Linked DNA regions of Rattus norvegicus. Each later gene encodes a partner of the first gene's protein in a complex. Links are inferred from orthologs where the notes say so. Each region holds a gene or a part of one and is shown on either strand. Other genes may lie near its edges. The genes, in order: Dlat and Pdk3.

Region 1 (6,810 bases):
CCACATCAGATGGTCTTTACCCCTCTTCTTCTTCCCTTTCTCCTTCCCATTAATCCCGTTTGTTTCGTTTCTATGTCCTTGGCAGACATATATGATTTTGAACAAAAGTCTAGGATCACAAATGAGAGAAAATAATTTTTGTGAATGTCAAACTCCATTATTAATGACTGAAAAAAATTACAATGTGTATATACCCATTTTAGTTAGATATTCTTTTAGTATGGACACATAGTTTAGGTTTATAAATGAGATATCGTGTGTTAACTGTGCTGCAAGTTTAAAAAAACAACTTAAATATATGATATTGCAATACATAAAGTTGACAAATATTTTGATTTATAGTTGTTAATATTGAGGCTGCTGCCTCACCTAAATCTGTAACATGAGCTGGCAAGATAGCTCAGTGTTGGGCTGGAGAGATGGCTCAGAGTTTGAGTGTGTTAGCATATATACAGAAAATCATGTCAATTTTTAAAAAAATAGGTAACAAAATGTGGACATTTACTGGAAAACTTTGTCCTAATATCAAACCAAAATTCATTGATTGATTTTTCGATGAAATTCAAGTAAGCCACAGCAATTTTAAGATTCAAATACTCTTAACTATTCAACCTAAAGATTATACTGCTACAATGTTTATATATAATAACTGTGGGAAATGTCTGCTTTCTGCAATTAAAACCATTATGTTCACGTGAGAGCAGAAAACTTTGTACAGTAAAACCAGTGCGAATCACACCATGCTTGGTGAATCTGTGCCAAGGTGTTTCAAGCGGTGTTGGCTGGCCTTGTGTGACACCGAGGGCAAGGCAGTGCAAAGGTGTCCTCAGAGCCACAGTTGCAGTGACTCGGTGGAATTCAGTGTAGGCAGCCTTATCTAGAAACAACCTAGGTTGGTGTGATTCAGTTCAGACGCTTAAGGTGCCATTTTTTCTTTTGACTTTACATTGTTACTCCATAGTTTAAGAAAGGTTTTTGATGTTTTCCCATTGAGTTCACAGAACTGCAGAATAGCAGGACAATGGCTTTTGCAAAGTTGTATCTTAAACCTTTCTTTTAAAAAAGAATCTCTGTAGCCCACGCTGGCCTGGCAACTAACTATATAGACCAGACTGGCCTGGAACTTAGGGATCCACCTGCCTCAGCCACCGGAATGCTATAATTAAAGGAATGTGCCACCTTGTCTGCTGTATGTCTTAAATATTTTCGCTATTTAAGAGGATACAGTGGTCATCTGGGGGTAATAAAACAATTTTTACAAACAAGTATCTTTATATTGGGACTATAATTAGTCCTCTGAGACTAACTCGAAATGTGAAAAAGGTACCTTTCTCTTGGCTGCCCTTAATATCATTTGACTGAAAACCCTGCTGCTCCCGTTTCAGGGGGGCTAAGGACCTACGACAGCCTGCGCTGGGCGGGCTCTGCAGTCAAGGGACACCCTCTAATCCCCGGAGGTCACTCGAGGGCCTTTCCTTTCTCCAACTTTTGGAGGTGCGCCCGCACCCACTGACCTAAAGCTTTGGATTACTGTCCGTCCAGACTCCTTTCCCCAGCTTTTTCTTAAAGCAAAGACGGTCATTCCTTTTGGCACCGCCTCCCTGACCGCAGGCTGTAGCCGGTCCGACTCTCGGTCCCTTAGGCCACCACCTTAGAGCTGGCCGTACTTCCCAACCTCTGCGACACCTCTCTTAGGGCCTTTCCCGTTTCTACCAAACGTGCACTGCCCCCGCACTGCCTGGAAACGCCTTCGTCACCGTAGATCCGAGCTGCCGCCTCGGGTCCCTCCCGGCTGTCTCTGACCAGTTCCCCGGCAGACCCACGCCGACGCCCTGCGTTCCGCCCGCCAGTCCAAGCAGCCGCTTTTACGACACTGCGCGACCGCAGTGCGCGGCTGACGGCAGAGCCGCGCTGCTCTTGGAGAGGTCACTCCGGAGACGGCGGAGCCTTTGGGGCGTGGGGTCGGTGGCAGTATGTGGCGCGTCTGTGCGCGGAGGGTGCAGAGTGCTGTTCCCAGGGCCGGGTTCAGGGCTCGGTGGGCAACTTTGAAGGGCCCGCGGACCGGCCCCGCCGCAGTTCGTTGCGGCAGTGGGATACCCAGCTATGGGGTCCGCTCGTTGTGCGGCTGGAGCTACGGCTCTGCCACCGTCCCACGTAACCGCATACTGCAACAACTCCTGGGGTCGCCCAGCCGCCGCTCTTATAGCCTCCCTCCGCACCAGAAGGTGAGTGATCCACCCCGGAGCCTGTTGTCCTTCAGAGCCCGCTTCTTGGCGCGGGGAATCCTCCTTGAGAGGCCTCCGTCAGCCAACTCCCTTTCAGATCTATTATGGTCCCTTGCCCAAGACCTTCCGAGTGGGGATCTCTTCTGTTGAAAGAAGAGCTTTAAGCCTGGGGATATAAGCAAAAGGTCTATGAAGTCTCACGTGCTTCTCAGATTCACCAGACTGACTGGAGGATCAACCTGCCATTGAAAGTCATGAAATTTCTGGGGTGCTAGAACTCCCTTTGTATCAACAGTGACCAATTTGTAATGGGACTCAGTAAATATTTTCCATGGAATTGGGTGGGATGAAACTAAAGCACACTAAAGAGAGTTGAGTATCCCTGTTTAAATGTATGCTTCTTTTTCTCTTGCAGGTTCCACTACCTTCACTTTCCCCTACAATGCAGGCAGGCACCATAGCCCGCTGGGAAAAAAAAGAAGGGGAAAAAATCAGTGAGGGTGATCTAATTGCAGAGGTAAGTTTTAAAATATGCAGATGATTCTAAGGGAGTGGCTTTGTCAATAGACTGAGGCTTAGCCTTCTGGTAGGTAGTTACTTCTTTCTCTTTAAGAAGCTGCTCCCCTCCCCTCTTCCCAGTTATTAGAGATGATTGGTCAGCTAAGTTGTCAGCAGCTAGCTAAAGTGACTGTTTGAGACAAGGTTTCACCATGTAACTCTGGCTGGCCTGCCATGCCTGCTGAATGCTAGCAATGCCTGGCCTCTACCCAAAATGTTTTAAAACCATTCTTTCAAGTCTGTGGTAGTGGGTTTATCTTGGTGTGGATTTCTAGACACGTTCTAATTAACTGCATGTTGGCAGTACAAACCTAAGCCAGTGCCTTGTGCTAACAGGTTGAAACTGATAAAGCCACTGTTGGATTTGAGAGCTTGGAGGAGTGCTATATGGCAAAGATCCTTGTTCCTGAGGGGACCAGAGATGTTCCAGTAGGATCTATCATTTGTATCACAGTTGAAAAGTGAGTTGGAAAAAAAACCTTGTAATTTGTGCTTTTAAAACGTTTTAACTCAATTCGGAAGTTAAAGACATTTGAGGACTTGCTGGGAGGTTAGGGATTGAATTTGCTTCATAAATTCTATATTTATGTATTCTTTTTCTTCAGGCCTCAGGATATTGAGGCCTTTAAAAATTATACATTGGATTCAGCAACAGCTGCCACACAGGCAGCCCCAGCCCCAGCTGCAGCTCCAGCTGCTGCCCCAGCTGCACCTTCTGCAAGTGCTCCAGGTAGCTCCTATCCCGTTCACATGCAGGTAAGACTCAGCTTCTGAGTGCCGGCTCCTGATGACTGCTTCTTTATATTCTTTATGGGTGGTGATTGCATCCTGAAAACTTGTTATATGTAAGTGCCCGTCACTGGCAGTCCACAGAGATTTAACTGTGAAGCTTGACAGCTTGTACTCTCGTTGTTTCCAAGTGTGTGAGCTTGGACAGTTTCTTTAACCTTTCTCAGCCTTAGCTCAGGATACAGGATCATGCTTGGTTTTTCTCATTTGCAAACAATGTTAAAGGTTTTGCAAATGTTTTTTTTTTTTTCCTATACAAGTAGAATTTAAGTAGAGAAGAGGTGCTCTCTGTTGAATGAAAGTCCCCAGATATTTTCCTTTGGTTTAGAGTGGGCTACTTCTTTTTTTTTTTTTTTTTTTTTTCTTTTTTCTTTTTTTTTTTCGGAGCTGGGGACTGAACCCAGGGCCTTGCACTTGCTATGCAAGCGCTCTACCACTGAGCTAAATCCCCAACCCTAGAGTGGGCTACTTCTAAGCATAGATGAAGTATTTCAGTAATACTCATTAATGAGAAAATAACAAGAAAAAATAAGTATGAAGAGACGGCTCAATGGTCAGAGCACTGGCCGCTCTTTCAGAGGACTCAGGTTTGATTCCCAGCAGCCACATGGCAGCTTACTTTTGTCTGTAAGTCTAGTTCCAGGGGATCTAGCACCCTCACAAAGACATACATACAGGCAAAACACCTATGCATGTAAAATAAAAATAAATCATTTAAAAAGAACAAGCAGTATCGAATACGTCTACAGGATGACATTGTAACAATGCTAGTGTCCATAGATGTGATTATCATGAACCTAATATCGTCTAGGAAACTAAGTCATGGTTTTGTTAAGTAGATTTTCCTTCATTTACATAATCTAATTACAGTTTCCTACCTCCCAGATCTTCTCCATTTCCCTAACCTATCCAAACCTGTACCTTTTCCTTCTCTTTTATATTAGAATCTAAAAACGAGAAAAACAATAATAAAATAAAAATAAACTAGAATAGAACCAAACAAATGGAAAAAAGAGCCAAAGAAGAAAAATGTCTACAGACGACAAAGCACATGCACTAAATCACATTATTAGATATTAGAACTTTCCTCTGTGTGTCTGTGTGGTCTTCTGGGGACCGAACCCAGGGCCTTGCGTTTGCTAGGCAAGCGCTCTACCACTGAGCTAAATCCCCAACCCCCTGTGTGGTCTTGATGTGGGAAGTAAAATGTACAGGATTAAGATTTGACCTTTCGGGCTGGAGAGATGGCTCAGTGGTTAAGAGCACTGACTGCTCTTCCACAGGTCCTGAGTTCAAATCCCAGCAACCACATGGTGGCTCACAACCATCTGTAATGAGAGCTGATGTCCTCTTCTGGTGTGTCTGAATAAATAAATAAATTAAAAAAAAAAAAAGATTTGACCTTTCCTTAACCCTATGAGAAGTTTTCTGGGTGAATCAGTTTCTCTCTGGAAATCATGCTCCATTTCTATTGCTAACAATCCCTTATGATGGCATTTTTCTTGGTCTTTAGCTTTCATGGTTATTTCTTTCAGTTCAGCAACCTTATTTTATTGCATAAGACCTCGTTTCTCCATTTTATCCTACTTTGTGTTGAAGTGTTAGAATTGGGCCCTAAGAATCCTTTGAGATGGTAAAGATACATAAATGAGTATATTTCTCCCCACCCCCCCACAGACACATACACACATATACACATACATACACACTCACACACATATACACACTCATACACACAGACTCACACACAGACTCACACACATACTCACACAGACTCACACATACACACACACATACACACTCACACACACACTTATACTTTCACTTACTCACTGGTGATTATGCAACAAAGAAAAGAAACTATGAACCGAAAATAATTTTTAAAGAATTTCTAAGTCTTGCAGGCGTGGTGGTTCACACCTTTAATCCCAGCACTCAAGCAGAAGCCAAACAAACAAAAAACAAACCAAACAAAAACAAACAAAAAACCAGAAAAGAATTTTCTGTCTTGTTTTATTTTTTTCCCCCACTTCTAGAAACAATTTTGACTGAAATGATTTTTTTCCTTACTATAAGGCTATTCCTATTTAAAAGACAAAGAAGATAGCAGATAACTGACAGCCACCCAAATTTAGTGGACACAATTATATAAATAGGAATGCAAGTAAAAACGTATATGTATCAGCTGGCCATGGTAGTACAGGCCTTTAATTCCAGCACACTGGAAGCAGAGGCATGCAGATCTCTGTGAGTTTGAGGACAGCCTGGTCTACAAATTGAGTTCCAAGACAGCCATGGCTGTTATACAGAGAAACCATGTCCAAAATACAAATTTTTTTATATGCATTTAGTGTGTGTGTGGGTACACTGCATTTATCTGTGTAGAGGTCATCGTGGGGGTAAGTCCTCTTCTGTGACCATAGTGCTATAAGGAGCAAAGACAGAGTTAGAGAGCAAGGCTTGTTGACTTCCCTATCTCAAGGAAATGAGGGAGATAGCACAGACTTCTGTACTGGACATTTATGTTATGTACACCTGTGCATATCACACACATACACACACACACACACACACACACACACACACACACACACACGTGCGCGCGCGCAGAGAGAGAGAGAGAGTGTTTTTTGTTTTTTTTTTAAAAAGTCTCAAAAAATATAATGTATTGTTCTTCTAGTCAGCTACTCTTCTACTATTGAACCTCATCCTTTGTTCCAGGAAGAGCTCTAATGTTCATTTTTAAAAATCGTGTGTGCACATGTGTGTCATGTGCATGCTGGTATTCCCAGAGGCAGGATTGGATTCACTGAAGCTGGAGTTACAGGTGGTTGGGAACTGACCCATGGAGACCCAAACTCAGGTCCTGTGCAAGAGCAAGTGTTCTTGAGCACTTAGCCCTCTCTCTAGCCCTTAATTTAATACACACACACACACACACACACACACACACACACACACACACACACTTATTAGGTGTGTGTGTGAAATAAGTGTGGTTTCTTATGGGTGAAAAGATGCTTATTGAAGAACACAACAAATTCAGCAGAGTGCTTTGTCTCCACCAAGATCATTCAACCTATGGGTCACGGCCCGTTCAGGGGCCAAACAACCCTTTCACATGGGTCACAATCAGATATTTGCATATCAGCTACTTACATTAGATTCATAACAGCAAAATTACAGTTATAAAGTAGCAACAAATCTATTTTTATGCCTGGGGGTAACCATATCATGA
Region 2 (6,818 bases), on another chromosome or scaffold:
GGGAGGAATGCAGGAGACAATAGTTAAGAATGGATTGTATACAGAACAAACTAGTCAAAAGACAAGCAAATTCTTTTAAGCACAAAATAAAAAGTGAGTGCCTAAATGGAAAAAGAGATGGGGGAGATGGGAATCTATCCAAACTTCACACACACACACACACACACACACACACACACACACACACACATACACACACACAAATCAATGAAAATCAGGACTTTGTAGAAAAAAATATATCCAAATGGGCTCCAGATGACACAGAAAATCTACACAGACCAAGACCATAGAATACAGAAACTTGTGGAAGGTTTCTTATGAGTGTTATACCAAATCTTTAAAGAACAGTCAACTCAAAAGAATAAATCAGTGTTAATGCAGAGAAAAGTGTCTTTCTGAAACAAGCCTAACTTTCACACAAAGAAAACCAAGCCTAACAGCCTGCATATGCAACTGTCTTCAAACAGCACAGGGCTTTTAGTATAATGACCCAAGAGTCATCAAACTATCCCTTCCACTGTTATACAATTTTCCAAAATAAAAGGCCAAGATAAAGCTTACTTGAAGAAAAAAAAACCACATTTCTGTGTAAACATGACTTCATGTATCAAAAGTGTGACTGACAACCATGTAGCAAAAGTACAGAAAAGCAGGCACTCTGTCTCAGAAACTTCCAATGGGTGGGTAAGTACATACCTCCTATGGAAAGGAATTTGTTAACAATTCTCAAAATTACAAATGTGCATTCTCCTTGATGGAGCAAGGTCACCTTTAGGAATTTGTCTTCTATCCACACCCAGACATGCGTGAAATTACAGTGTACGAAATACTTCACTGCAGTACTGTGTCATAGCAAAGTCTACAAACATCCCACTAGCTGTCACTTGTGAGACGTCTAATTACACTACATCCATATGAACTCTGAGCAGTCAGAAAAAGGAAAAGTTTACAAGTACATATAAAGTAAGTTCTTTCATAGTACGCTTAAAAAGCAAGATACAAATAAAACTATGTGGTGCAACTTATGCAAAGAGACTAGTCAACAGAAGTAGGAAACAGGCATTTTCTACCTAGGTCCTTTTGCATCTTTTGAATTTGGAACCATGTAACTGCCGTCTTGAGCTGGCAGTTTTTATGTTGTTGTTTTTTGAATCTTGCCCTCGGGAATGGTACTACAGTAGTATCTTTGTAAACTGATACTCCACTACAGTAGTATCTTTGTAAACTGATACTCCACTTAGAATACTTATTATTCTTGCAGACTGAAATTCCAGTGAAGATGATTCAAGAAACTCTTATTTTTTAAGGGCTTAAATACTCTACGCCAAAAAAAGGGAGGCAGCAGATTAGCCAGAAGTATACCTACTTAATGGTTTTTTAATCCTGATGATGCTCCAGAATGACCCTGGGGTCTTCTAAAAATACCAGTGCCCTACACTCCATGCATATACTACTAATAGCAGAAATTCAGGGCATGAGGCCCTGCCCCCAAACCACTGATCTCAATGCTTTAAAATAGTGAACATTTGTTTCTAGATACTCACCACATAGATTACCACCATGACAATAACCTTCCAGTAGTTTTCCTATTCAAATAACACCCTGGCCTACTGACACGGGAGACACTGCCATAGAAGCAAGGTAACTGAAATTTTAGGCATACTAGTCAAACTTTCACAAACTTTGAGGGTGGGGGTGAGCAAAGTTTCCTTTGTTCTTTTAACTGAGAATTTGTCTGTTTACCCTAACAAAAAGTTCCTATGTTCACAGTAATCTCTAGCCCTAAGATAGGAAAGCAGGCCAGGAGGAGAGACCCAATTCCCACAAGTTGTCCTCTGACTTCTACACACCATGATACATGTGTAGCCACACAAATTCATGCATAGATAAAATGTTTAAGAATAAATACATCAATTGCCAGAGGGAGTAGAGCCCAACTACTGAAATGCTTTTGAAACTGAAACTTAAGATGCAAAGGCCAAAAACTTCTCCCTCATCTTAGATTTTCATCATCTCTCTTTGGCAACCGGCTTCTAAAACTTAAGTGGACATCAGCTTAAACCTCTAACCTATACCTCTTTCCATCCCGTTTGTTTCTCCCCCAAATATAGACAACATCACATTTTGTATATCTGATCTTCCCAGAAAGTTCTACCTATTTTGCATTTTTATATCCAACTGACACCATCCCATGACATTTAAGTCAAATGACTTCAACAGATCTAGGTTTTGAGAGCCTAAGTCATCTTGAGTTTCCTTTGGGGATGCCGAGTTCCATTTTTGTTTTATTTCAGGTGTTTCACAACTGCATTCGGCCTGCTGGAGTTGGAATGACATCCTCTGGGGAAACATGATTGATCAGTTAAAGGAAGGTGGCAGAATCTACTTCCATCCAAGTAGGCCTCAGGCTTTATTGGGGTCCTCTCCCTTCCCACCCTGATCCATGAAAAATGAAGGACTAGCCCAGCTGCCAACAGGGTGCATGGGACATCAAGGAAAGGTGCTCACACTTAGGCTGGAGTTGTCCTAGAACCCCTGCTTTGTAGCCAGGAGCCCACCGGTCAGCTCTTACCCAGCATGTAAGGCATTTGCAGCCCAAGACTATGATTGCTTTGAAGTCCTAATCATAATGAAGGCATTCAGGTCGTGCCACTCAAGGCTACCCAACACCTTACAGCAGAAAAGGAACAAAACGCCACTACGTGATTTACTCAATCTCAAGGTGTTTCTAAACACGTCTTACACAACCATTAGAAACATCTAAAAACAAAAACGTTTATGAGTTCTCTTTCTGAAGTTTTAAGGAGAGTGCGGTTTGAGTGCTCATAATGAATAGCTGGGGAGTTCTGACAGGGATGAGGGTCGTTGGACGAAGCTGGGCATGGGGGGTGTCAGGCCCTGCCTCTCCACCTCCCTAAACCCGAAACCTAAGCCCCAGGAGGGCTCTCAGCATGCTTCCCCATCACCGAAGGTTCTCACGGACTTTGCCCTGAAGCTGAAGAGCCTCAGCTGCAGGCAGGACAAGGATGGCGGCTCCCTCACTCCCCTGGGCCTTGGAGGTGGCTCCAAGGAGTCACACTTACCGAAGTCCAGGAACTGTTTGATAGAGAGCGGCGACGGAGAGAAGCGGGAGTAGCGCTCGATCTGCTTGGGGACCGGCTGCTTGAGCAGCCGGTAGAAGAGCCGCATCCTTACTGGTGGAGTGTGCAGATCCGCCAAGCCGTCCCGGACTGGAGCAGAGGCCGCCGCCGCCAAGACACAAGGAGGAGGCGGCGCCGGCGGGGCTTTACCTCTACCTGGGGCTCGGCCTTGGCGCCAGTAGCCGGTCGCCGCCGCGGCACCTACCCAAGCACCGGGCAGCAGTTAGGCGCCCGTGGCCGGCTGCCCGCGGGTTCTCAAGCCCCGCCTAGAAAAGGCGGGATCTGCCGCCGCACGTACGCGGCGCGCGTGGGATGTGAGGGGCGCTAGGGGTACGCGGCTGCACGCGCGTGCTGCTGATTGGCTGCCTCCGCCGCCAAAGCTTCCTTAAAGCCCCGGTAACACGCACAAACCTCCCGCCCTCGCTCGTGGGTCTCAGCCTGCCACCAGCCAGCTAGTTGCTGCCGGTCCCGCCCCGGGTCAGGTCTTGAGAAGTGCTCCGAGACTTGAAGTACACTGGGAGCCCACGCCTGAGATATCGTTAGGACTGTTCTAGACCTTCCCAACCCTAGGCCCCTCTTCCGGAAGGCCCTCCTCAGATCTGCTGAGTCCTCAGCTTTAAGTTGTTCCTTGCAGTCCTATGCTTTTTCTTAACTGCACGGTTTGTTTCATCCTCTCCAACAATTAATTACAGAATTAAATGAAAGCTACTGGCCCTCCTACCCCCCCCACCCCCCCACCCCGGCCACACGACAGGATTCAGTGTATCATCAATTAACCTGGCCACAGGGCCTCTGCTCACTGACTGCCCACCTTCGCTCTGGTGAATACCTTTGGACAGGATTGTTACAAAACAGGATTGTTACGTCACTGGGTGCGGTTCCTGGCCTTACACTCCTTAGCTACCAACTGGGCCAAGAACAGCATCTTTAGATCACTTTTTGATGCTTCTTTCACCACTACCACCTTTGAAGGAATCCATTACAAATGAAGGTCATTAACACTTGATTTCCATGCTTCCTAGATCCCCTTGCTCCCAGTTTGTTGGGATTAATCACAATTATTTCATTGCCCAAACATACATAACATCCATTGGAAAGGCTCAAATTAGAGCCACTGACCAGTCTCTTTCACAACCCCTCACCGTCACAGAACCCTGACTCAGTTTCACCACTACTACCACTTTGGTGCAGGAGTCTATGTTTACATTGTGCTAGATTTTCTTTGCATGACAGTAAGCTTAAATTCATGGCTCAGTATATGAAATCAGCATTTGCTAATGTGGATATATGAACTACTGCTTGCTTTTCACCATTACTAGGAAACATTAATTTTTGTTACTGTGTAAACATCAACTAGAAAAAAGGTAAGAATTCTCCTTGGTCTGATTATTAGTGGAAAGTTTCATGTCTTCATTTGGTTATGTACTCACTTTTTGCTTTATAAAATTGTTGCACTTCTACTCGTTGAATTTAAAGGGAAAAAAAGCACGTGCATTCAGAGATAAAAATTCAGATTTTTAAGTACAACATATGATATGTGGACTACTTTGCCTTTTCCATTCGAAGCAAAGCCTTAAGAGACTTAGCAACAACCTCTGTAAAGGGCAGATTTACCAACAGAGCAGAACACTGACTGCAGTTGGGAGTGCTCGGGCAGACAAGGAGTGGCCTATGGTTGTCTACTCACTTTCTTGGGTGCTGCCAACAGGTGGAGTTTTACTAATAGCAGTTCTGGATGAAGATCACTGAGAAGGGAAAAGTTGTGTGTTGGTGGGGAGAGAGGTTTTTCCACCTATGTGACACAGTACTGCTGAACCTTCTGAACTCACCCATCAACTTTTTCATAATTTCCTTTTCTGCTGCACAAACTGCTACTTTAAATTATTTTATTCTGATGTTTTAATTCCTTAAAATGATTATGCTTAATTTTATGCTTGCCTGAAAATTGGCACAGTTCTAAGAGTTGAGGAAATATGAAAGAAGCCTGTATAATGGAAACTTGTGCTGGTCCACAGCTAAATGACCCAGCTCTAAACTTGACCCTATCATTAGCAAGCTGTATGACCTAAGACTAGTCTAGTAGCATCCTGTGTCCCAGTTATTTTAATGTCAGCTGGAGATGTATGACTTCTCTTCCTTTATTTGTGGCAATTAAATAAAATAAATATATCTAATATAAATATAAGGCACATCTGGTCCTATTCTGTACGTGATAATGATTAATCTAGAAATTAAAGTCAGTTGATTTCAGTAGTAGTTATTATTGGATCTCTTGAGCTTAAATCTCAAAGTTTTTCCAGCTTGTTATGCACATAAGGTTTTACACAGGCCTCTTTGTGCTTCTTGAATTCTTGTGGTGTTCCGAATGAAAATGGTCTCCTTAAGGCTCACAAAGAGTGACACTATTAGGAGGTGTGGTCTTGTTGGAGGAAGTGTGTTACTAGGGGTAGGCTTGGAGGATTCAGATGGCCAAGCCAGGCTCAGTAGCTCACTGTCTTTTCCTGCTGCCTGTGGATCCACATGTAGAACTCTTGGCTCCTCTGGCACCATGTCTGTTTGCATACTGCCATGCTTCCTGCCATGATGACAATTTACTAAACCTCTGAAACTATAAGCCATCCCCAGTGAAATGTTTTCCTTTATAAGAGTTGCATTGGTCATGGTGTCTCTTCACAGAAATAGAACCCTAAGATAAATCTCTAGCCCATTCAGAGAAGCAGTACCTGGAAGCTTGTTAGAAATGCAAACTCTTGGATTGTACTACAGTCTTACTAAAACCAACTCTTTGTAGTTAGGACTCAAGGACTTGACCACAAATTCTTTTATAGTCCTGTCTTCAAAAGCTACAGCTTAATTCCCCTCCTGCTGAATGTGGGTTAGCTTTAGCATTGGCTTCTAACAAATAGATTATGGTCACAAGTGATGAAATTACATTCAGAGGTTAGTTTAGAAAGCTACTATGTCTCTCGAAATAACCTGAGCAGAATCCCCCAAACTATCAAGGCCATTAAAAGCCAGGAAAACCAGAGAGGCTTACACAGCATAGAGAAACCTGAAAAGATATAACAACTTAATATAACGTACTCTCCTAGATGGGATTCTGGGGCAGAAAAAAATATTAGGTTTAAAAACTAAGTTATTTTGGACTTTGGACCAAATGTACCAACACCCTTTCCCCACACCTTCTTTTCCTTCTCCCATCTCCTTCCCACTTTTCCTCCTTCTCCTTCTCCCTCTCTGGTTTTTCCTCTTCCCACTACTCCTTTTTCTCCTCACCCTTAAAGCTTAGAAGCAGATCCTCCCACCTTATAAACTAGAGGCAACATGGCTTTGGCCTGAGGCCTCGATTCAAGCCTCCCTGTAATTTCTGAAAGACAAACCACTTAGCCAAGGGAGATTATGTTTGGACTCTTAACACTCCCAAATCCTCAGAGTTTGTTGCCATAAATGCTCATTATTTCCAGCTTCTAAGCTGGTAATGATGGATGATGCAAAAAAAGTTAACTCATATGCAAGCCTTCCAAGATTCTGATGTATGAAACACTATCTACTCTAACTCCACATCTCTTCTACCTAATGCCTCAGATTGCAATTTAAACACTTAAACATGAACAGAAGCCTTCTCTGTCTTAGAAGTCTGTCCATTGTCCCTGCTACACAATTTCCTAGTAAACAATA

The links.
Region 2: the proteins of Dlat (region 1) and Pdk3 are in contact, whole or in part, in a crystal structure (PDB 1Y8N), measured with the Homo sapiens proteins. The link is inferred for Rattus norvegicus from reciprocal best matches to the Homo sapiens genes DLAT and PDK3. Residues at the interface, in NP_001922.2 of Homo sapiens: Ala225, Leu226, Ser227, Pro228, Thr229, Glu248, Gly249, Lys259, Ala260, Ile262, Glu265; in NP_005382.1 of Homo sapiens: Arg21, Phe22, Ser23, Pro24, Ser25, Pro26, Leu27, Phe48, Lys51, Val55, Asn373, Lys374, Ser375, Arg378.

Annotation. Positions count from the first base shown.
Region 1 is NC_086026.1:59,895,972-59,902,781, reverse strand, and holds the start of Dlat (dihydrolipoyllysine-residue acetyltransferase component of pyruvate dehydrogenase complex, mitochondrial), read left to right. Parts: upstream 1-1,963; 5' UTR 1,964-1,973; coding exon 1,974-2,225; intron 2,226-2,640; coding exon 2,641-2,742; intron 2,743-3,119; coding exon 3,120-3,244; intron 3,245-3,388; coding exon 3,389-3,539; intron 3,540-6,810.
Region 2 is NC_086039.1:62,543,990-62,550,807, forward strand, and holds the start of Pdk3 (pyruvate dehydrogenase kinase, isozyme 3), read right to left. Parts: upstream 3,383-6,818; 5' UTR 3,190-3,382; coding exon 3,084-3,189; intron 1-3,083. UniProt on the Homo sapiens protein: Inhibits pyruvate dehydrogenase activity by phosphorylation of the E1 subunit PDHA1, and thereby regulates glucose metabolism and aerobic respiration. Can also phosphorylate PDHA2.